Linked DNA regions of Alligator mississippiensis. The protein of the gene in region 2 interacts with the protein of the main gene of each other region in a biochemical or structural test. Links are inferred from orthologs where the notes say so. Each region holds a gene or a part of one and is shown on either strand. Other genes may lie near its edges.

What was found.
Region 1: the proteins of TRIM28 (region 2) and IRF1 form a complex in vitro, tested with the Homo sapiens proteins (2 studies listed by BioGRID). The link is inferred for Alligator mississippiensis from reciprocal best matches to the Homo sapiens genes TRIM28 and IRF1.
Region 3: the proteins of TRIM28 (region 2) and fructose-1,6-bisphosphatase 1 form a complex in vitro, tested with the Homo sapiens proteins (2 studies listed by BioGRID). The link is inferred for Alligator mississippiensis from reciprocal best matches to the Homo sapiens genes TRIM28 and FBP1.

The regions. Positions count from the first base shown.
Region 1 is NC_081832.1:67,481,952-67,490,009, reverse strand, and holds the start of IRF1 (interferon regulatory factor 1), read right to left. Parts: upstream 3,005-8,058; 5' UTR 2,899-3,004; intron 698-2,898; 5' UTR 693-697; coding exon 606-692; intron 1-605. UniProt on the Homo sapiens protein: Transcriptional regulator which displays a remarkable functional diversity in the regulation of cellular responses.
Region 2 is NC_081828.1:75,675,024-75,682,050, reverse strand, and holds the start of TRIM28 (transcription intermediary factor 1-beta), read left to right. Parts: upstream 1-3,996; 5' UTR 3,997-4,137; coding exon 4,138-4,357; intron 4,358-7,027. UniProt on the Homo sapiens protein: Nuclear corepressor for KRAB domain-containing zinc finger proteins (KRAB-ZFPs).
Region 3 is NC_081826.1:205,422,829-205,430,714, reverse strand, and holds the start of fructose-1,6-bisphosphatase 1, read left to right. Parts: upstream 1-4,848; 5' UTR 4,849-4,906; coding exon 4,907-5,076; intron 5,077-7,464; coding exon 7,465-7,627; intron 7,628-7,886. UniProt on the Homo sapiens protein: Catalyzes the hydrolysis of fructose 1,6-bisphosphate to fructose 6-phosphate in the presence of divalent cations, acting as a rate-limiting enzyme in gluconeogenesis. Plays a role in regulating glucose sensing and insulin secretion of pancreatic beta-cells.

The DNA.
Region 1 (8,058 bases), on a different chromosome or scaffold from region 2:
ACACTTGGCCAACTTGGATCTCTTCCAACACCTTCTGCTTGTATCTGAATGGCACTGTTGTCTGAATGCACTTAAATCATCACTCTAGTAGTTTACTCAAATAAAACTACAGTCAGGAAACTGGATGACCTGACACCAGCACTGGGATAGCAAGCCGCTGTACATGTGCAAGGGTTTTGCAGTTGGTTCTCACTCAGTGTTGACTTTAATTGAAAACAAGCTCAACACCACCTAAGATTGGGTTTTATGGTCCCATTAAATGGTTAGGATCTAACCCAGATGACTTAAGCAAGTACAAGAGGACTTGGCCTAAGCACAAGTCATAGTTACAGGCTCATCTGAAGTGTCCCTGGCTCCCAAACTGGTCTTGCCTCTTTCTCCACCCCCAAACCAGGGATTCCTTGGACAATGTCAGGTCAATGATCAAGTGACTGACAGCTACTTCTTTTCTGAAAACAAAAATGTTGTCTTGTATAGTGTGGGTAGAGTCTCTCTATTTCCTTCCGATCTAGGTATATGACCTGGATTTGCATTTACTATCAGATAAGAGCAGAGGGCCTGTTGAGTATGACTGATAGCTACAGAAGTAATGACAGAGTCCTCACCTTATTGATCCAGGTCAGTCCTGGTATTTGATTGGAATTGATCTGCATTTCCAACCAAGGCCTCATGCGCATTCTTGTCACTGGCATTTTGTCTGTGAAAGGAAAATAACATCAGCAAAAAGGTAAATGTTCTGCCTTCTAGGCTTTTTAGCAATGCAACCCTGCCATGCTTACTACTGTCCTTAAGGGCCAGCAAAAACCAAGTTGGCCAACTTGGATCTCTTCCAGCACCGTCTGCCTGTATCTGAATGGCACTGTTGTCTGAATCCACTTAAATCATCACTCTAGTAACTTACTTAAATAAAGCTGTGCTGTCAGGAAACTGGATGACCTGAGACACCAGCACTGGGATAGCAAGCCGCTTCCCTTTTTTGGGACACTTGCCCAGTTCTGTTGCAAGAGGGAACTTTTATCTTCTGATGCTGTTTGGCGGCTGACATGAAATGCATTTTTGGTCTTGAACCTTTACCCGGTGAACAGATACTCGGGTGTCAAACCAAGGGCACATCCAGTATATTCTTCCTGGCAATCCCAGTGGAAAATGCAAAAGAATCAAAGGTTTGTGGGCTCTGAACTCCTCCCTCTTCGTTCTCAAGGTAATTACTGCAGGTTGTGGGCAAGGCATGCTGGTAGGGCAGTGGAGGGAAGTCTAAACTGCCACTTCCTGTGTCAGACTTGCCATGAATCACAACAACAAAAGAGCAGGTTTTAGGGCTGTCAGGCTTTCAGGAGCACTGCATGCGCAATATAGTATTTAAATAACTGTTAAAATGTATTTAACTGGGTCAGGGAGAGGACCAAGGCAGGACATTGCTCTCTCAACTGATTCGTAGTCTACCAAAAAAAAAATGTCCTGGGGCGTGTCCAGTTCTTGTTTAGTGCTAACGAGCTTCCCTTCAAGGAAGTGCAACATGTTTGCTAGAAACTTGTACACTTTGCTGCGAGCTTCTCGTTCTAGCACTAGCTCTTGCCATGGATATAGTTATTCTAACTAATAATTTCAAAACGGGAACTCCAGCTTTCAGAGGTATCCAAACAGTCATTTTTTTTTCCCCTGAGCAGGCTGGCAGAGGCGGCAGAGTTGCACAGTCCAGTTTCTGGCTTCCTTCCTAACCTGGGAGACTAAATAAGAGGCTCTTCTCCAAGTGAACCTTCAGCTCTTTTACACTCCCTTTTTCTTCTGCTGAGCCCACTCCTGCCAGCCGGTTCTCCACGTGGAGAGCAATGTTTTGCTTTGGGGCCAGGAGAGGCAGTAACGTGAAGGGCTGCAAGGCTGGCAGCGTTTCAAGCACATCCCTGCTTGTTTTTCCCTTCAGAAAACAGCCTCTGTTCACAGCTCCTCCATCCTCCACAGCGCCCTCCTACATCGTACCAGGTGTTTTCTTGTTGTGTGTGCCTTGAGGATACGTGTATTGTACTAGAAATACAGTGTGTGCATGTGTGTGAGAAAAGTATATAGGCTATTATACATATATAATTATACCGGAATAGTGTGTGTGTGTAAAAAGTATATAGACTATATTAATATAATTATACTAGAAATAGAGAGTGTTAAAGTATATTGACTATTATATTTATATAAGTCTACTGGAAAGTGTGTGTTATATAAATATAATAGTCTATATACTTTTAAACACACACACACACACACACACACACACACACACTCTTCTAGTAGAATTATATACATATAATAGTATAATAAATATAATATAATAGTACAATAATGATATACATATACTAGTCTATCTACTTTTAAACGCACACACTTCTAGTAGAATTATATACATATAATAGTATAATAAATATAATATAATAGTACAATAATGATATACATATACTAGTCTATATACTTTTAAACGCACACACTCTTCTAGTAGAATTATATACATATAATAGTCTATATACTTTTAATTATACTAGAAGTGTGTGTTAAAAGTATATAGACTATGTTGATATAATTATACTAGAAATATAGTGTGTGTGCGTGTGTGTTCAAGTATCTGGACTCCTCTACTTCTCTAATCGGACGAGGCAGAGCCGGGTGCGGGGGGTGCAGGACGCTCGGCGCCGCCGGGCAGGGCTGGCCGGCAGCGGCACGGGCTCGGCCCCTCTCGCGCCCGGGTAAGCGGCGCGCCGCAGCCCGAGCCCAAGCCCGAGCGGAGCAGCGCCCGCGGGTCCCCGGCAGGCAGGTCTGCGCCGCCCGCCCCGCTGCAGCTCCCGCCCGCCCGCCCGCCCGCCCGGCGGAGTGCTGCAGCCCGAGCCCGAGCCCCGCGCGGGAGCCGCGACCCACCTGTGTGAGCCCGTCGGTCTGTGGGTCGGTGGGTGCCGGCTCGCAGCGCAGCGCAGCGCTCAGTGCCGGCCGCGGGCTGGGCGCGGGTCTAGTCTTCCCCCCGCACGGGATTCCCCGCCGGCAGCGCCCGCGCCGGCCAATCCGCGCCGCCGCCCGGCCTCGCGCGCCGCCCATAGGCTGCGGCGCCACCATCATTTCGGGGAAATCAGGCTGTTGTCACTGCAGCGGCAGCGGCGGCGGCGGCGGAGGCAGGGGAAGTACGGCCGCCCCGCCCGCCCCGCGCCGGCAGGTGGCTCCCCTGGGCGCAGCCCTGCACGGGGCAGAGGCTGGCGGAGGATGCCCCGGGGCAGAGGAGCTGAATGCCAGGCCGGCAGGGCCACGAGCCGCAACAGCCTGGGCCCCCCTGAGCCCTCCAAACCAGCTGTCAGTATGCATGCCAGAGCATGGCACGCCAAGGCACTTTGCTTGGTGCCCCTTGCAGCAACCCTGCCACCCCGCACCACACCGACATCTTAGGAGTCGAGGTTGTGGGTGTTTTTGGCATCCCGCTCAAAAAAGCTTGCCACCCCTTGGCCTAGGCCGTGTGGTCTCGGGGTCAGCGCCTGCACTCCTATATGCTCTTTTTTAATCATGATTCCAGCAGGCAGTGGGGAGGGCTGCATCTCAGCTGTCCGCTGGCTGAAGAGCCAGCCCATTTGTTTGGCAGCCCTGAGAAGTTTAAGACCAGAAGAAAATAACAATGTGACTTCCGCTTGACTCTACAAGGCATTATATTGAGGTAGCTAGGAGCTGGGCTGCGCACCCGAGGTTAATGTTCTCACTGTAGGAGAAGGCACTGGGACTTTAACAGCAGCACCCCGTGATTGTGGCTCTGTTATGTCTCATTGGAAAGACTCGGCAACCCAGTCCTCTTTAACATTTGGAGGGTGTCAGACCTGTGCAGACTGCCACCTACTGAGTCACCCACAGCCCTCGCGTGCAACCAGTCTTTAAGGTGCCCCTTGTAGCCATGTACGTGCTCAGCATCAGTCCTGTGAGGTTTCAGGTGCTATAAAGAATCTGTTTTGGCCAGTGGAAGCAAAGCCTATAAAATGTATCTGAGAAAAATAAAAGTGTAGGGGAAACTGTGGGAGATGACTAGTGGGGAATGACTAGTTTTACACTTCTGTAGTATGGAGGGAGAGTTATGAATCGATTTGTGCAGTTACCTTAATCAAGGTGCTGTCCTTTTCTCACATGCATTCAAGTGTGATCTTGCATTAGTTAGCAGCTCAAAATTCAGGAGTGTTAAATGCTGGGGAATGACATTTGGGTCTAAAAGTAGCAGCTCGGTCCTGTGGAGACCAGAACCGAGTCAAGGTCCCTGCTTACAGCATGTCTGAGTTCAAAAGTAGTAGTACAGCCATCCTCTGACCACTTCCCTGTAACCAGGTTAAAAATCTGAATGATCTAAACTGGATCTCATAGCCTAGTTATATTCTGACTTGTAAGCAATCGGGGCTGAGTGTGGTTTCAGTCTTTCTCTCCTGTGGGGGCTACAAAATGTTGCACAATGTGGGTATCTTTGATTTTCCAGCACCATCGTCTACCAGGTAACATGCTCAGCAGCTCATAGCAGCCATTTCAAATAAATCCTACTTTATGCATCTATTTTTTTCACAGCAGCCACTGCAAAGGAGAGGGGCATGGAAACAATAATGACATTTTTGCAAGATCTGGGGACATTTCTGTTCCCCACACCCACAACCACCATCCTCTCTCAGGCCTCAGCTGTGTGTCAGGGAAGGACTGACTTGAAAGGACTATCCTAAAGAAAATAAAGTAACTGCATTGGGCCCACATTCTGTCCTCTTCTGTACCTGTTGGGCTGCTTACATGTGTGCCAAAGAAGTCAATAGAAGGACTTCCCTCCATTTCAGCGGAGCCAGATGTATTGACTGGACCCCTGAGAGGAGAGGGGAGTGTGTGTGCCTGGGATCCAGAAAGCTGCATGCATTTTTAAACACTGTTCATCATTTCATGTTGGCATTCTAACAGTATCCAAGTAGGATTTGAAGTTCACAAACTTAGATTAACCCAAACCCTGTCCTTCCTTCACAGACAAGCTGTTTTCATGATGAAAAAGCATACTTTATTTCTTAGACTTTTTGGTTGGTTTTTTTAGAAGCATAGACTCTAAATAAAATAAAAATAAAAAATCTTTGTTTATTCATATTTTTATTTAACCTTTATACTTCTGGCCACTCAGGTCAGGACCCTTTGGGGCTGGCAATTACAAATGCATAGGGAATAGCAGTCCCTATTGCAAAAGATTTTCCGTCTAAAGGACAAGACCTCCCGAGTAGATAAGCTAATAATGTCAGAAGAGACTGGCAGACAAGATGGTAGAAGTGAAAGGATGTGTCCAATTCTCAACAAGAGGCAGTTCCTTCACTCTGTGCAAGACAATGAGCTGTCATTTATTTGGAAAATTGTATCACTCCAGACTATTTTAAAAGTAACTAGCAGTGGAGAAGATGTGTTACCTTGTCAGCAATATTGTTGTGTAAAGATGGTCTAGAACAGTGGTTTCAACCTGTGGTCTGCAGACCTCTGGGAGTCCACAGACTATGTCTAAGGGTCTGCGAAAGATGACTATGATCAATCAAAAGTATGTGAATACCAGACTTACAATTCAAAGGGATCTTCACCTCCATTAAAAATTTCCAAAGGGGTCTGCACCTCCATCTGAAGTTCTTTAGGAGTGCACAAATGAAAAAAAGTTAAAAACCACTAGCATTGGCGATGTGTAGGGGGTGCACGCAGGTGCATATGCACCCCAGTACATATGCACCCCTTGAGCATGATGGTGCACCCCATGTGAAACCACACACCCCTCGCCGCTGACACCACCGGCAGTGTCTGTGGGCAGTCCCTGATCACCACTAGCCACCGCCTATGCTGTCAGCAGTGTCTGGGGGTGGTCGCTGACCACTGGTTGTCGCTCACCCCTCCACCACCAGCAGCGCTGCAGCTGCCTGCAGCAGGTCCCCGCTTGCCTCCGCCATGCTCCCACCGCCACTTGCAGGAACTCGCCGTGCCCCCCCAGCCTCTGGGGGCACACGTCATTCACGACTACTAGTCTATAAAATTTACTTCACTTTAAAATCTTATTATATTCTGAGCCACAGTATCATTAATTGGCATGTGAGATGTATATTGTGATTTACTGTATATTGCTGTGTATTTTCAGTCTGAGCGCTTCTTATGGGTAGACATTGTAATGCAAATAATACAGAATAGGAAGGCATAAAAGGATGATCACATCTTGCTCTGCTCTTTCTTCTGCAGATTTAAGTCTATAGTAACTCCACTCAATTCAATGTAATGTAACTGAGAATTGAGTTTGGCCCAAAGACCCACATTCTTCCCCCAGATCTGTGCTGCAGAATACCACAGCATAACTTGCAAAAGGTTTTTGCATAAACTGGGTGGTGTTGATTTGTTTCCTTCTTTTAGATATCATGTGACTGAAACCAGGAAATTAAAAAAAAAACACTGTCTCTTACCAACTTCTTTATGTTGCATGTTCTTAGTACCAAGAAGTTTTTAAAATTTCATCTCTTATTCCCATGTATTCTATTTATACTAACAACCTAGTCACTCCAGAACGAAGCCCTGCTCATGGTAGTTGCTGAATCATATAGTTAAAAAATAGTACAAACGTGTACACTTTACAAACACTGACACAGACCTCTAACCACCAAGTATCAACACGCTTCAAGAAATAAACAGTTGAATCATTCATTAAAGTATTCTTCTGTCTTCTGAATGAATTCTAATACTCCTTAAACTCCAGCGAATCTTCCTTTCTCATCATTTGTTACACTTATCGTAGACACCAATGAGGGCCCCAACACTAGTGCCTGGATACTATCTCCCTCTCTTTTATATGGTCATCCTCACAAAATCTCTCTGACAAAGAGAAATATTCATTTCCCAGTTCTATATATGGGGAATGGAGGCTCAAAGTCCCACATTTTTTAAAGCATTGCTAAAAATATCACTAAGGTTCTGGTCCAGAGAAGTTACAAAGCCTGTCTTTGGGTGCCTTAACCCAGGTCACTCGCAAACTCAGCACAGTATGGAACTGAAGTAAGATTTCAGGCTAATTCTCTGGCCATGGGAATTGCCTTCAAAACAAAATAACTGATATAATAGCTCAATACCAGAACAGAACAAGGGGGCAAAGCTAAGATTCAACAGGCAGTGCAGGTTGGATGATGTGATAGTGAGCCATAGAGGAATGCACGCAACTGGCAAATGGGGAAGATACTGTATCTATGCATCCAGGCACACAGTTGGGAGGATGTTAATTAAAAACTTTTGCAGAGAGCAGCTATATTCATAATCATCTAGTAGTTTCGACTTTCCAGGTCCCTCTTTTGTTCAGCATCTTGAATCACCCTGGTATAGAAAGTCTCCGGGGGGGTAGCGGAGGGATCCCTGTTCCTGTACTCTATCTGTACAGGGTTTCTCTCCTGCAGACAGGAGCTGACTGCCACCAGTTGCCCTTCCCCAAGCTTCTTTCACAGCTCCTGCAATCCCCTATCAATGATCCCCTAGTCCCTTGCTCATATTCTTTGTTCCTCTCTTGGGCCCCTGAACCTTTTCCATGCCCTTTATGTCACGGTGTCCACCTTTAACCACCTTTAACCCCTCCCCAAGTCACTCGCTCCTCTTTCTTACTCCTCTTCCTCTTCCTCACCCCAAGAGACAACTGCCTTTTGTCCTGGAAGGATCGAAGTCCATGGCAACACCCATGAGCCCTCCCTATTTCCTAGCCCACTCAGCTTCCTCCCCTCTTCCCCACACACCTTTTTAATTTCTTTTCCTGTCTTCCAGATCCTTTTTTAATGCAGATCTTCTTCACCCCTAAACTCAGAGGCACTTGTTTATTTTTGGAGAAGAGGGGGAACCAATTCTAGCCTTTGGGAATTGTACTGATTCATCCATAGCCAATGCTGTCCACTGATTTAGGGCCAAATGATGACCTTAGCTACATTTGGCATGTCTGTGTACCTTCCTTTAGGCCATCAGGCCTGCAAAGAGTTAAATTCATTACGAGTTGAATCACTGGCTTCAGTGTGCAAAATCCTAACTTCAGTTGATGAAGAATAG
Region 2 (7,027 bases):
AACTCTTCCTTGTCACACATTTCCTGGACCATCATAGCTACAACACTCCACCCCAACTACTGACATTGAAATAAACATTCACCCACAACTCTACTGTCAAATACACCATCACCTGCTTACAATGCCCCGCTGCTGTCTGCAAAAGCCCATGGCAGAATATTTTAATCTCCCTGCTGACTTCAATCCATCATCCCTGCTGACTTCAGGATTGTTGCTCTCAGACAAAAAACAAACAAACAAACAAAATAAAAACCAGTATGAACTGGAAATTGCAGAACCAGGAAATCATCCACAAACTGTACTGTGTTAAGTATGGTTTAAACTGGGACTATGTTATCTCATTACCTGGATTAGCTTTTGTAACCCTTTTTCTTCTGTAGGTTTACTGCATCTTTGGTTTTCTCTCCTAGCATTGCCATCTTCTCCCTATCTCTCTAGCTTCCTTTGTCTTTTGTACACTAATTTCTCTCTCCTTCCACTCTGCTTTCTGCACATCCTTTCACAGCATCTGATTAAATGAACTTGGGTTCACAAAAGCTTCTGTTTGCTCATGCCTGCATAGATATAGATCTGATTTAGTTAATATAAAGGTTCATATCTACCTTGACTTCTGATTGAAATGCAAACCATTTCACTCCCTTGAGCGTTGGTAATTGGGAGCTCAGGTGGCACAGGTGCTAAGGTACAAAGTTGACAGTCCCGAGGTTGTAAGTGTGAGGCCATAGCAGAAGCACTCAGTGTGTGGCCCTGTCAGATTCTAAGGAATCTGTGAATTTTGGCAAATACCTGGTTGCACAAGGACATAAAAAAGGAAGAAAAGTACTGGTGATTCACTTGGCCTTCCAGGAGATGATGTTGTGAAGCAAGACCATCTCCTCCAGCATTAAGACAATGTTTTCAGTGAATGCTCTTATCTGGCATTCTGGATATGGAGGAGGACCATGTCAATGATAACCTGCAATAATGGGGAGATTGTTGGGACCATCAGGGTTCAGAGTCCAACCACAGCCCTCTCCTTCTGAGAGGCAGGCTCCAAATTACAGAAAGCCAGTGGCAGTTCAAGTGAAGAGCATCTTTGCCAAGTTGAACTTGGAGTCCCTAGTTGCTGAAAACAGCCTGTGTACTTGTGGGTGACAGATGGACATGGCTCTCCATGCAGGAGCCAGCAGCTGGTATGTCTACCATCTTAGAAGCCTGCGGCAAATGCAAAGGTGCTCCCAAGGTGTAATGCAAAAAAACTTTTTGGGAGTTCACAGCTTACCCTCACTTATCCCACAGCTGCTACCACAGGTTCTGGTGTTAAGCCCCAAGGACACAAGATGAGACTGCAGCTTAATGAGTAGCAAGGACGAGACTGCTGCAGCATTGGGCAATGACTGGGAGTAATAGAGTGATGGAGAAAATCTTAAAAGCATGACCCAGGGCACCTTGCAGACTCAGAAGTCAGGATGAATGACTCCTGCCATCCCTGTTTTCCTCTCTTTTAAAAAAAAAAAAGACTTCATAGGATCATGGGAAGGAACCTTACGAAGTCATCTAGTCCAAGTCCCTGCTCAAGGCAGGACAATCCCTGATTAAACCATCCCAACCAAGTGTCTGTCTAGCCTGCTTTTGAAAATTTCCAAGGATGGCAATTCCACAACCTATGTAGCCTGTTCCAGTGTTTGACCGCTCTCATAGTCTGAAAGTTCCTCCTGATCTTCAACTTAAATTTCTCTTGCTGAAGCTTGAGGCTATTGCTCCCAATCCTGTCCCCTGAAGCCACAGAGGAAAGTCCATTTCCATTCTCTCTAGAATCACCCTTCAGGTATTTGAAGAATGTTACCAACTCCCCTCTCAGTCTTCTTTTCTCCAGACTAAATAGTCCTAGTTCTTTTAGCCTTTCCTCATAAGTCTCGTCTCCCAGACCCATCATTTTTGTTGTTTTCTGCTGGATGTTTTCCAAACTCAGGGGCGACATATAGGAGGTGCATGGGGGTGCATGTGCACCCCCTGAGAGCACCGGTGCACCTCCTGTCAAGCCATGCTCCCTGTGTAGCTGGCAGGTAGGGTGGCAGGCAGGAGCACCAATACCCCCCTGTGAGTGCTGGGGGACCCCCCTGAGCCATCAGGATTGGCCACCGGGGGAGTACTCCCCTCCCCAGCCAGTGGGATCAGCCACCAGGGAACCCCCTGGTTGCTGACTGGTGTCAGGGGGGCACGTGCCCTGCCTGACTCAAGAGGCACCAGGCACCCATGTCCAAACTGTACATATCCTTGAAGCATGAGTTCAAAAACTGGACCCAGTACTCCAGGTGAGGCATCCCCAGTGCTGACTAGAGAAGAAGAATCACTTCCCTTGGTTTGCAAGTGATAGTTCTATTAATACAACCCAGTATAATGTTGACTTTTTTTTGCAGCAAGAGCACACTGTTGGCTCAAAATCAGCTTATGGTCTACCATAACTGCCAAGCCCTTCTCTGCAGTATGGCAAATCATTTCCCCATCTGTATTTGTACATGCAGTTATTCTGTCCCAAGTGCAGAACTTTGCACTTGTCCTTGCTGAATCTCACCTCATTGCTTGTGAACCATTTATTTCTCCAGCCTATCCATCCAGATCGTTCTAGATCCTAGGTGGCAATCCCAACCAACTTGGCATCATCCGCCAATTTGCTACATGCACATTGGATCCCATGCTTCAAATCATGAATGAAGATATTAAAGAACCCTGGGACCCAGGACAGCCCTCACTTGATACCTCCTCCCAACTAGACACTGAGCCACTGAGGACTACCCCGACAAGGATTATCCAACTGGTTCTGTATCCACCTTGCAGTACTTCCCTGCGGCCTGTACTTCCTTAGCTTGTTAATGAGAAAGTTGTGACTGTGAAGCCTGACTCATGGCAGGGTTGAGGCTGCCTCATCCTCTTCAAACATCCAAAAAGTAACGTCCAACCAAAGGCCCTCAGTCACTCTGTAGCAGGTACAGCTCAGACACGGCATCCCTGGGGGGGAATGAAACCCTGGGTGCTTTCAGCAAGGTCTCGAGGTTGGGCTGAGAAAGGAGGCGTCTCCCTGGCAGGGACAGCCAGCTTGGCTGGGCATGGGGGGGGGGGGCAGGGGTGAAGCCAGAATGACTGAGGGGAGCAAGGCAGTGTCATGTGCAGGAGCGGCCTACTGCAGCAGCAATTCCCGCAGCGCTCGGCAGGGCCGGCCTGGAAACTGGAGGGCTGCTCTGGGCCTGAGGGGAAGGGGTGGAACAGACCCCGCCTTAGGTGAATCTAGTCCGCCAAAATTCTAAGCGGCTTCAATTTAAGCAGCTTTAATCAAAGTGGCAGAATTTAGTGGGGTCAGACCAGCAGGACAGGACAGGGCAAGCCTGTGGCTAGGCTTCCTGGAGTGACTCCTGATTCCCATCCTAGGTCAGCCACCGAGGCCGCACGTGGGGCGGGGAGGGGGAGCTCAACACTTCCAACGAGGTGGGGCGGGAGCAGAAGGTCCATCAGAAACGATCATTGGCCCTCTGCCCTGTCAGTCACCGCGGCCCTCCCAGGCCGACAGGCACCGCCCCCTGTAAATCCCACAGCTTCGGTGGGTGATTGGGCGCCAGCCCCGCCAGGCCCTTTCCACGCGGCAGCAGCTCACTGAACGCTCGAAAACTCTTCCCGCGGGGTGGGGGGTCCCTCCTAAATCATTCTCAGGCAGGAGGGGAGAAGACGCAGGATTGGTCCAGCAAGTTGTCATTCTTTACAGCCCCGCCCTCGCCCGCTGATGCCGTTCAGTGATTGGCCTGTTCCCATTCAATCACTGCCTACGCTACAGCCCGCCCGCTCAGGTACGTACAGGAGACCAATGGCCGCCTCCCCTCCCCCTTTCCCACTCCCAGCCGGGCCTTGGAGCCCCGCCTCTCCGCCGCCTTTTTGAGAGGTGATTGGGTGGGTTTGCCGCGGCCGCTAGGCGGGCATTGTGACGCGCCGAGAGGGGGCGGGGCTAGGGCCGCGCCGCGCTGGGGGTTGCGCGCGCCGATCCCCTTGTCTGAGGCGTTTTGTTTTGTGTGCGGCGGCGGCCGGAGCCGGAGCAACGGCGCGCGGCCTTGCAGGGGCCGACGGGCGCGCAGCGGCTGCACAGGCCCGGAGCGCGGCGGCGGTGCAACGATGTCGGGCCCAGCGGCCGCGGCCGAGGCGGGTGGCCCCGGCGGGGAGAAGCGTGCGGAGGCGCTAGACCTGGTGGAGCAGTGCGGCGTGTGCCACGAGCGGCTGCGCGGCGAGCGCGAGCCCCGCCTGCTGCCCTGCCTGCACTCCGTGTGCCGCGCCTGTCTGGGCCCCGAGCCCGAGCCGCCCGCCTCCGCCGGCGCCGCCAACAAAGAGGAGCGAGGTGAGCGGCGGGGGGGCCGGGGCGGCCGCGGGGGCGGGCGGCGCGGCGCGGCCCGAGGGGGGAGGGGGCCCGAGGGTGATGGCGCGGGGCCGGGGGGAGGGGCGCCACGCGGTGCGGTGGGGCGGGCCGGAGTGCGCCCCTCCCTGCGCGGTGTAGGGGGAGGGGGCGGGTCTCCCGGGCTACCCCCAACGGCCCCTCGCCTTCCCGAGCCGGGCGCCTTCCCCGCTGCGCCGCGGGCTCTGGGCTGGCGGGGCCGGCGCCTCCTGCGGCCCAGCTCCATTGGCGGCCGGCCGTGGGGGAGGGGGGATCCCTCCCGATCCCCGGCTGTGCGGGGTCAGCCCCGACGCCCAGCTCCGCCTCCGCTGCCTCCATCCTTCTTCCTGCGGGCCGGGAGTGCAGGGGCAGGGCTGGCAGCTTCAGCGCCTGCTGGGGAGCAGCCCCACAGGCTTGTGGGCCGGAGCCAAGGGGTGGGGCCTGGCCTGGCCTGCTGCAGGCAGCCAGCCAAAGGCCTCCGGGCCGTGGGCCTTCTGTCTGCTGGAAAGGGGACGCTGCTCAGCAGGAGTGCTAGAGACTTCCTGCCTCCCCCTAGAGATACTGGCTGGAGAGTGTTGTCCACTTGCACCCTTCTAGACACCAGCTGGTAATGGTCCAAGTAACCTTCACTTGTGACAAGGCTTCAGCTGCAGTACCAGCATACACGTTTCCTCAGTTGCTTATTTTTTTTAAAAAAGAAGAAAGCCTCCTTGTTGCTGCTTTTATTCCAGCTAAAGTTTCTAGTGTGGGACTCTGATTTTGCAACTAAACTGTGCAAGGCATTCTTGAAGGATGCTGATTTACCTAGAGGTGAGCTAGGGGTGTTCAGGGCACCTGTACTAAAGAAACCAAGTCCTCCAAAGGAGCGTGTGAGGCAGCTTTGTTGAAGACTGTAAAAACATGGAGCAGTGCAATATAAATAATGTGTAACAGGAACATGTGCGGTAAAATTACTTGTGAACTTCATAGAAAGAGAGGATTCGTGCTGCAGTCTGAACAGTCTGTAACAGGTGGCTCAAGCCTGTTAGAGATGATCTTAACCAAGGTTGAGTGACTTGGTTCTGAGGATGTGAGGGTCTCTGTTACACTCACTGATAGGAACCTCGGTATGAACAGTTGTCCAGTGCTGGAGGTATCCCATCTTTGGACACATGGCATTTTATTACCTCATTTTATTAACTCATCTGTAGTATAAAACAGTATTAAAAATGCAGCAAACTAAAATACCTAGTTTAGTCTCCTTGTTGGCTACCTAGCTGACTAGCACCTTCTGGTTAAGAGCTGAAAAATCCCCTCTTCCTAGCATTCTTTTACCTACAACAATTTCCTTTGGTTTTGGGTTGTTTTTTTTTTATTGCCTTTAAGTTATGCCAACTTATTCTGTTAAAATATGTTGCAGCTTCCAGGGATGCTTTTCCTAGTCTTGCTGCTGCAGGCTTGTTACAGATTGAAAACCAGTAGTCTTCATTCATGTCATTTGGCTGGTCAACCCAAATGATAAATACCCAGGTTCAGAAATCCAAAGTTCTCCTGAAAACATGCAGTTCTATACATTATTTTCTAAACCATTCAGTTGCATATTAACACAGTGTATACACAGCTAGATATTCTTTTTTCACTTTATATCATGTGTTATCATTTCAGTTAATTTTCCCCACTCCTTAGGCATTTTTATCAAATTCCAAGTTTCTCAGGAAGTTGCACCATAATTGAGGAGACACTGAAAGGGTATTTAGGATTCATTCTTAATCACTTAAGACTTTTGACCCCTCCCAGGATGTGTTCACTGCCTTATTGTTACATTCTGGTCTGACCATTAAGTGTCCCTGAGGGGCTTTACTCCCATCCAGAGAGAACCAACAAAGTATCCTATGGCCTAGAAAATGGTCTACAAGGAGAAGCCTTCTTAGAGTCAGTGTTTCATTTAAGTGGGTGTGAAGCCTATACTTTATAGCTGTTCCTTAAGGAAATGTGCCTTGGGCCTGGCTTTTGTATAGGCTTTGTACTGAGTGTTTTGGTTAGGGGGTGTGATTCTTAACCTATTACCAAAAACACGGTACCATTTGGTTTTTCCAGAGACAAGACTACATACCTGTAGCCTGTAATAATAATGACCTCTTTGCAAGCTTAGAGGCAGAACTAAGGGACAGTTATAATTGCTTTAATGTTTTTTATTTATTTTTATTTTTTTTACACCAAATCAAGATACACTTGCATTTCCCAACGATTCTCCACTTCCTCTTAACAGGTAAGGTATCAGCTTTAAGGTGGATAAAGAGGTAAACCAGGTCTATAGAAGCCAACCTTTTATTGATTACAGCCCAAGCACAGGAGTAAGCATTTGTCTGCCTAGCTATCTGCAACAGCATAATACAGATTCTTGCCTGTACAGCTGGTATAGGAGGGAGGAAGAAGGTAGCATACAGACTGGCTACCAGGTTGTTTTGAATTTGCTTCGGTTTTCCCAAAATCTTTTGTTTACTGCACCTAATATTTGTACATGGTTTATTTTAATAAATGTTCTTTGATTGGTGGTGTGTCAATTTCTTTGTTTTACCAAGATTTGGCAACTGGACTGAGCCAGTTGTTATCTTTATGGACTTGGAAGATGCCAATTAGTTTGAGTTAGTGTCCTTG
Region 3 (7,886 bases), on a different chromosome or scaffold from region 2:
GATGCCTATCCAGTCTTCCTTTAAGGACCCCCCCAAGGTAGGGGAGAGCACCACCTCCCTTGGAAGTCCATTCCAAATTGCCACCACCCTGACCATGAAGAAATTCTTCCTGATGTCTAGCCTAAATCTGCTCTCTGTCAGTTTGTGACTGTTGTTCCTTGTTACCCCAAGAGGTGCCCTGGTGAACAGAGCACCTCCGATCCCTTGCTGTGCCCCCCTAATGAATTTGTAGGCAGCCACAAGATCACCTCTCAACCTTCTCTTGCAGAGGCTGAAGAAGTCCAGGTTCCTTAGTCTCTCCTCATAGGGCTTGGCCTGTAAGCCATTAACCATACAAGTGGCCTTCCTCTGGACCCTCTCAAGGTTATCCACATCCTTCTTAAAGTACTGTGCCAAAAACTAGATGCAGTACTCCCGCTGTGGTCTGACCAATGCTTGCATAGAGGGGAAGTATCACCTCCTTAGTTCTATTTGTCATGCATCTGCTGGTGCATGATAAGGTGTGGTTAGCTTTGCTGATTATTTCGTCATACTGACGACTCATGTTCATGAGTCCATTATGACTCCAAGATCCCTTTCTGCCTCCATGCTGCTGAGAGGATCATTCCCCAGCCAGTAGGTGTGCTGGATATTTTTACACCCTAGGTGCAGCACTCTGCATTTGTCCTTGTCATACTGCATCCTATTGTGTTCTGCCCTCTTATCCAACCTGTCCAGGTCTTCCTGCAGTCGTTCCCTACCCTCCCAAGTGTGCACTTCCCCCCCACAATTTAGTATCATCCGCAAACTTGGACAGAGTACAATTCACGCCCACATCCAAGTCACTGATGAAGACAGTGAAGAGTACCGGTCCAAGGACCGAATCCTGTGGGGCCCCACAACCCACATCTTTCCAGGTCGATACCAATCCCTCTACTACCACTTTGTGGGTGTGACCCCCAAACAATTTGCCACCCAGTGGACCATGTAAACATCTAAGTCACAGCCTCTCAATTTATTTATGAGGATGGGATGAGATACCGTATTGAAGGCCTTCCGAAAATCCAGGAAAAGGATATCCACCTCTACTCCTGTGTTCAAGTGTTTTGTGACCTGGTCATAAAATGAAACCAGATTAGTCAAGCATAATCTACCTGCTACAAATCCATGCTGGTTGCCCTGCTGCATTATTTTTCCCACTGGACTCCTGCAAATATGATCCTTAATAATCTTTTCAAAAGACTTTTCCAAGGATGGAGGTGAAACTGACTGGCCTATAATTACTCGGATCCTCCTTCCTCCCCTTTGTGAAGATAGGGACCACACTGGCCCTTTTCCAGTCCTCCGGGACCTGACCCGAGCAACACGAGCGCTCAAACATCCATGCCAGTGGTTCTGCTATGACACTGGCGAATTCCTTCAGTACTCTCAGATGCAGCTCATCCAGGCCTGCCGACTTTAACACATCCAGTCCATCCAAGTGACTCTGCACCAAGTCAGTGTTGACAGTTGGTAGGCGGGTGTCCCTTTGATGCCCACCTAAGTACCCATTAGGAGACTTATCTTGACCCTTGTTCAGGAACACTGAGGCAAAAAACTCATTGAAGACCTCAGCCTTGTTCCCCCTGTCTGTCACTAATTGCTCTTTCTTGTTCAGTAGGGGTCCTATGTTGCCCTGCGCCTGCCTTTTACTCCCTACATACCTAAAAAAGACATTTTGTTGTCTTTAATTTGTGTTGCCAGACTTTCTGACTGCCTCCCTGCAAGTGCGGGCCAAGTAGGTATACTCCTCCATGGTAGCTTCCCCCCGCTTCCACCACCTATATGCCTCCTTTGGGTTCCTGGATTTCTCTGTTTAGCCAAGGAAGTTTTTTGTCCCCTTTCCCCCCTTTTCCTCGCACTGGGATTGCCTCTCTCTGTGCCCGAAGGATTGCTTCCTTTAGGAATGACCACCCTTCCTGGACTCCCATCTTGCCAATACTCCTATCCTGCAGTGCATGGGCAACTGGTGCTGTCTTAGTTGTGGTGGGGGCACATGCTCCCCCTTCAACCAGTCCCGCCAACCAGGGAAGGGGGTCCTCTGTGGCCTATCTTGCCAACCGGGGGGGGGGGGGGGGCAATCCTCCCACTTCTGGGAGTGGCTGCAATCGCTTCTGGAAGTGGCTACAGCGATTGGCTGCCACTTGCAAGGGGGGGGGGGGCATCGAAACTCCTGCCTGCCCCTCCTGCTCATTGCCTAAGTGGCAAATGCGGCTGGTTAAGGGGTGCACCAGTGCTCTCAGGGGGTGCACGTGCACCTCTGCGCACCCTCTATGCCCTCTATCCCCACTGCTACAGTGCGTCATTGACTAAACTCCTAAGCACACTTCCACCCTACTAGTTATCTTACCCACTCTACGCCGTATGGTGAATTTGATTGATTGGGGACAGTGACCAACAAGGTTACCACAAATCTTCAGCTCCCCTACCAGGTCATCCCCCATAGCCAACACCAAGTCCAGTAAGATGTGTTTTGAAGTACTGTTGATATGTTATGCCTTCATGTCTGGATTTCTACTGTAGAACCGGAGCATTATTTAGCAAGTTCTAATAATAACAAATTGGAATTATGTGCCTGATAAATACTTTTGTTAGTGATATGGTACCACTTTATGATTGGCTCTAAATCTGTTGGTGGTGCTACTTTTTTCCCTTATATTTAGACCAGAGCTGTCTAGCTTCTAATAAGTGACCGGGGCGGCGCATGCCTTATCAGTAAGCCACGCATCCCCCACTGTATCTGATGCACACTTCTGTTACTGCAGGCTGTATTGTGCTGCACTGCCCCCTGAAATAGGGGCAAGACACAAGCTGGAAGAATGAGGGGAGTGGTACCTGGGTGGGAACCCAGGGGCCACAGATGATCCCCCTTTCTCTGGGCTCGCACCCAGGCACCACTCCCCTCATTCTTCTAGCTATGACATTTTCCCCTCATCCCAGTAAAGCTTGCATTGCCAGGAGTGTGCACATAGTACAGTGGGGGACCCAGGACCAATTGTGGGCCGCATGTGATCTGTGGGCTGCCAGTTCGATAGCCCTGATTTAGGCAACAGAATTTGGGCAGCTGAAGTTAAAAGTTCAGAAGAATCAGTTACTAAACAGGTGTTTTTCCAGTGCTCTTTGGCCAGGTTGCATCAGGACCCCTTTTTTTTTTCCATGCAAGATAAAAGGGACTTACACGTTTGCTTTTTAGATTGCATAATTTGGGGTTTGACTTTACCAAGAGCCATAAAAATCTATACTAGATCTCAAATTTTACAGAAGTTGTTCGGTGTAACATGTCACAATTCAGAAAAGCTGGTGCAGAAAAAGTACCTGTACTTGTTCTCCCCATTATAGCCATCACATTTAAACAGTACGGGCCAAACATATAAGGATATAGTAGGACTATTTTTTTTTTCAGACAGACCTGGCTGGTCTTTCTGCATATTGCAGAATTACACCTGAATTCAGAGGCTTGAAGCAAAAAAAAAAGGAGGAAGCTGGAAGCAGTTGGTGAGGTTTGCTCCAGGATACAACACAGCCTGGATGCTTTTGAGCAGTTAGACATGTTATTTATTTTAATGCAGTTGGGGACAAATATTAGCTGAAACGGAAAGCAACCTGGAGAGCCAAGTAGTCCCACCAAAGAGATGCCCCCAGCTATGCCGCAGAGTGCATTTGAACTGCCTTTCCTAGTCCTCGGTTACTGACAGTCACGCTTAACTAGCCCTTTTCTAGAGAGGGAGGAGGTAGCAACGAGCTCCTGTGAACAGGACCAGAACAGAAACGTTCAGCTCTCGGCTGCTTCCCAACAGGCCTTCATGTCCACGTGCGTGCCTATGAGGTTCTCCAAAAAAAGCACGTGTGGATTTGCTTCTAATGTTTAGCAGGGAAACCCTTCTCCATAGTCTAGCTCCTTCTAGGGGGTTGACCTTGAGCAGGGGATGAGGGACAGAGAAAACAAGGCAGCAGCCTCTGGGAGCCAAGTAACTGGGGGGCTGCCAGGGAGAACTGGGGCTGCTCTGGGAGGCAGGCGGAGGGACTGGGATAACTGGGAGGCAGGCAGGGAGAACTGGGGCTGCTCTGGGAGGCAGGCGGAGGAACTGGGGTAACTGGGAGGCAGGCAGGGAGAACTGGGGCTGCTCTGGGAGGCAGGCGGAGGGACTGGGGTAACTGGGAGGCAGGCAGGGAGAACTGGGGCTGCTCTGGGAGGCAGGCGGAGGGACTGGGATAACTGGGAGGCAGGCAGGGAGAACTGGGGCTGCTCTGGGAGGCAGGCGGAGGGACTGGGATAACTGGGAGGCAGGCAGGGAGAACTGGGGCTGCTCTGGGAGGCAGGCGGAGGAACTGGGGTAACTGGGAGGCAGGCAGGGAGAACTGGGGCTGCTCTGGGAGGCAGGCGGAGGGACTGGGGTAACTGGGAGGCAGGCAGGGAGAACTGGGGCTGCTCTGGGAGGCAGGCGGAGGGACTGGGATAACTGGGAGGCAGGCAGGGAGAACTGGGGCTGCTCTGGGAGGCAGGCGGAGGGACTGGGATAACTGGGAGGCAGGCAGGGAGAACTGGGGCTGCTCTGGGAGGCAGGTGGAGGGACTGGGATAACTGGGAGGCAGGCAGGGAGAACTGAGGCTGCTCTGGGAGGCAAGTGGAGGGACTGGGATAACTGGGAGGCAGGCAGGGAGAACTGAAGCTGCTCTGGGACGCAGGCTGAGGGACTGAGGTAACCACGAAGCAGGCGGGACGGGGCGAGGCGGGGCCCTGGCCTGTCCAGCCCTGCCCCGCCGCGCGATAGGCCGGGCCGGGCACCTCCCCCGAGGCCGCGGCTAGTTCCGGGGCCGGCGGCAGCTCGGCCTGGCTGTGTGGCCGCTACCTGTCCCCGTCCTTGTCGTCGTCCCCGACGCTGCCACCATGACGGACCGTGCGCCCTTCGACACGAACGTGCTGACCCTGACCCGCTTCGTGATGGAGGAGGGGCGGCGCGCGCGGGGCACCGGGGAGTTCACGCAGCTGCTCAACTCGCTGTGCACCGCCGTCAAGGCCATCTCCACCGCCGTGCGCAAGGCCGGCATCGCCAACCTGTGAGTGCGGGCCCGGGCTGGAGCCGAGCAGCCGCGGGAACCGCCTGCTCCGTCCGCACAGAGGGAGCGGGGCGGAGAGGGAGGGGGTGTCCGTGTGAGGAGGCCTGCTGGGGCCACGCATCTTTATAGAGGCATCTGTCTCCCCCTGTGGCGAGACACAGAGATCTGGCCGTCTGGACAGCTGAGGAGGTGAACTTCAGCTCAGGGAAGCTTGTGCCAGGACTGGCCATCAGAGTCACAGACAATGAGGGGTGGGAGGGACCTCGGGAGTCCTCTAGTACAGCGTTTCTCAACCCAGGGGTCAGGACCTAAAAGTGGGTCGCAAGAGTATATTATGAAAGGGTCATGTATAAGCTTCAAAAATGGATTCTCCTTTAAAGGGAGAAAAGGCTGCCTGGAGCCCCCCAGGCCCCACACACACCTACCCCCTTCCCCTCACACTGGGGGGCTGGGGCAGGAGGTCAGGACTGGCCATCAAGGTTCACAAATGGGTCCTGGTACCAAAAAAAGGTTGCAAATCATTAGTCTAGTCCAACCACTGCTCAAAGCAGAACCATCCTCAACTAGATCATCCCAGCTACCTGTAGATAAAGAGATGGAGTCTACGTTAGAGAGCTGATGAAGACAGCTTTAGCTCAGCAAAGCTTGGGCTATCTCTCTGTATAGAGATATAGATACATTTATATATGTATAGAGAGAGATATACCCATCTCCCTGTGTTTCTGTATGTAGATTATAGATCTCTACAGGTAGATGGATAGATACCTTTACCTACCTACTTTAGTTAGTGTAGAAGGAGCAGACTGACCCCACCTTTTAAATATGGCCAAGAGTGCCGTACAAGGGAAAGCTGCTCTTCTGGTGATCAAGCTAGCATTGGCCTGTAAATATTGGCATTACTGGACCGTACCTAGGAAATGTATGCTCTCCTGCCCTACCCTAATACTTCCCTGTCTAGGCCCACCAGCAGGAGCAACCTCAACATGAGATCACAGAGTACAAAATAATAGAAACTTATAAAACAGCTGAACAGAAAACAGTCCCCCTCATATTAAAAGCCCTGTCAACACCACCTGTGATGATACTACTACTTTATTTAAAAAAAAAAAACCTAACTCAACTTTTGACTCTGATCTATAATGGCATAAATAATTAACATGTATATCTTAGACTAGCTTGGTAGGTGAAGCAAATGCTGGGAAGTCTTCAGACTCCATTTTGGCATTTTCTAGTTTTGTTCCTCTTCTCTCTAGTCCTTGCTGAAGGTAGCTACTATTTCCCTCTTTTCTCTAGCTAGTCTTTGCTGAAGGTCGCTAGTGTTGAGTTTTGACTCTTCCTTTTTAAAGGGCCCAGTGGGTTTATTGGTATACAAGATGTGAAATAACCCAAATCCTTGCAGTTGGCAGAGTCTTCATTAAATTGAATTTGATTCAGTGAATACCCAACCTTTGAACTGGAAAACCAGGTAGATGGGCTAGAAGACCAAGATTGATAATATCTGGCTTAATGATCAATTGCTGTCTGTAATTTAATATGTTGGCACCATTTAATATTAAATTCAATGAAACACTTTTTTCCTGATTGCACTGTAAAAGAATAGAGTTTTGCATCTTAGAAGAATAAGGCTTTCAGATTCAACCCTAGAAGAGAACAGGGGTGTTGCCACAAGTCAGCCAATCAGAGCTAATACTACGCATGCTTCATGCTGACAGCAAAACAGGAAATGAGTGGGGGGGGGGGGTTCTTGCAGGGGTAAATAAAAGGTGAAGCAGCTTTTCTGCAACATCATTCTTACAATATTTTACATGTTATTGGTAGGTCAGGTGCTATGCTGATCAGCACTTTCAAAATGCCTGTAGTAATGAGCCGTGTCAATACTTAATGAGAAATATAATAAAAATGAAAATAATTTCACACATACAGCAAGTAGCAGAAGACTCATGGACTCAAAAAGCTTCTATCAGTATAGAGTAGTGTTTGTTTGTTAGGACATGTATTAGTAGCACTAGAAAACCGTGGTTGCTATATCTTCTGAAACAACTGCTGTAAAATGTACTTCAATGCAAGCATAAAGTATATTCATTTCAAGAAGAAACGAAGCTTTCCTGTCTTAAATTCCTAGCAAGGGTCTCAACTTTGAAAGAACTAGCTGTTGATCTGAATGGAGGGAAATATTCCACCTACACCTACAGAAGAGGGAGGCCATTGTCAAAACTTAATCTAGTACTTAATGTCTTGTTCCAAATGCATAGCTAGCAACTTCCGTCTGTTCAGTGCTTTGGCTTTCCTTAAAACCCTGGCACAAACTATTTGCTATTTCATGTTAAGTTTAAATGACTAACAGATCGTAGATTGTCTGATGAGGAACAATCTTTTTCATTGCTATAGCTATGGAATTGCTGGTTCCACCAATGTGACAGGAGACCAAGTAAAGAAGCTGGATATCCTTTCCAATGACCTGGTGATTAATGTGCTCAAGTCATCCTTCAGCACATGTGTTATTGTATCAGAAGAAAACAAAAGTGCTGTAATAGTAGAACCTGACAAAAGGGTTAGTAATTTGCAAACCTTTTCAGAACTTGATTTCAAGTTACATTTTCCTTTAAATGTGTACAAATAAAACCTGACCTAAAGATTTCGGAGAAACTTGGCCAAAGGTCTGAATTTTTCTGGATGTGGGAAAATATGAGTGAACTCTCTCAAAATCAACCTCTTTCACTTTCTGTTGACTTAATTCTCTCAGCTGAGTCTTTATTCCCTCTTGCTTGGTTTCTTGATATTTTCTTTCTTCCTACAGTTCTCTTCCAACA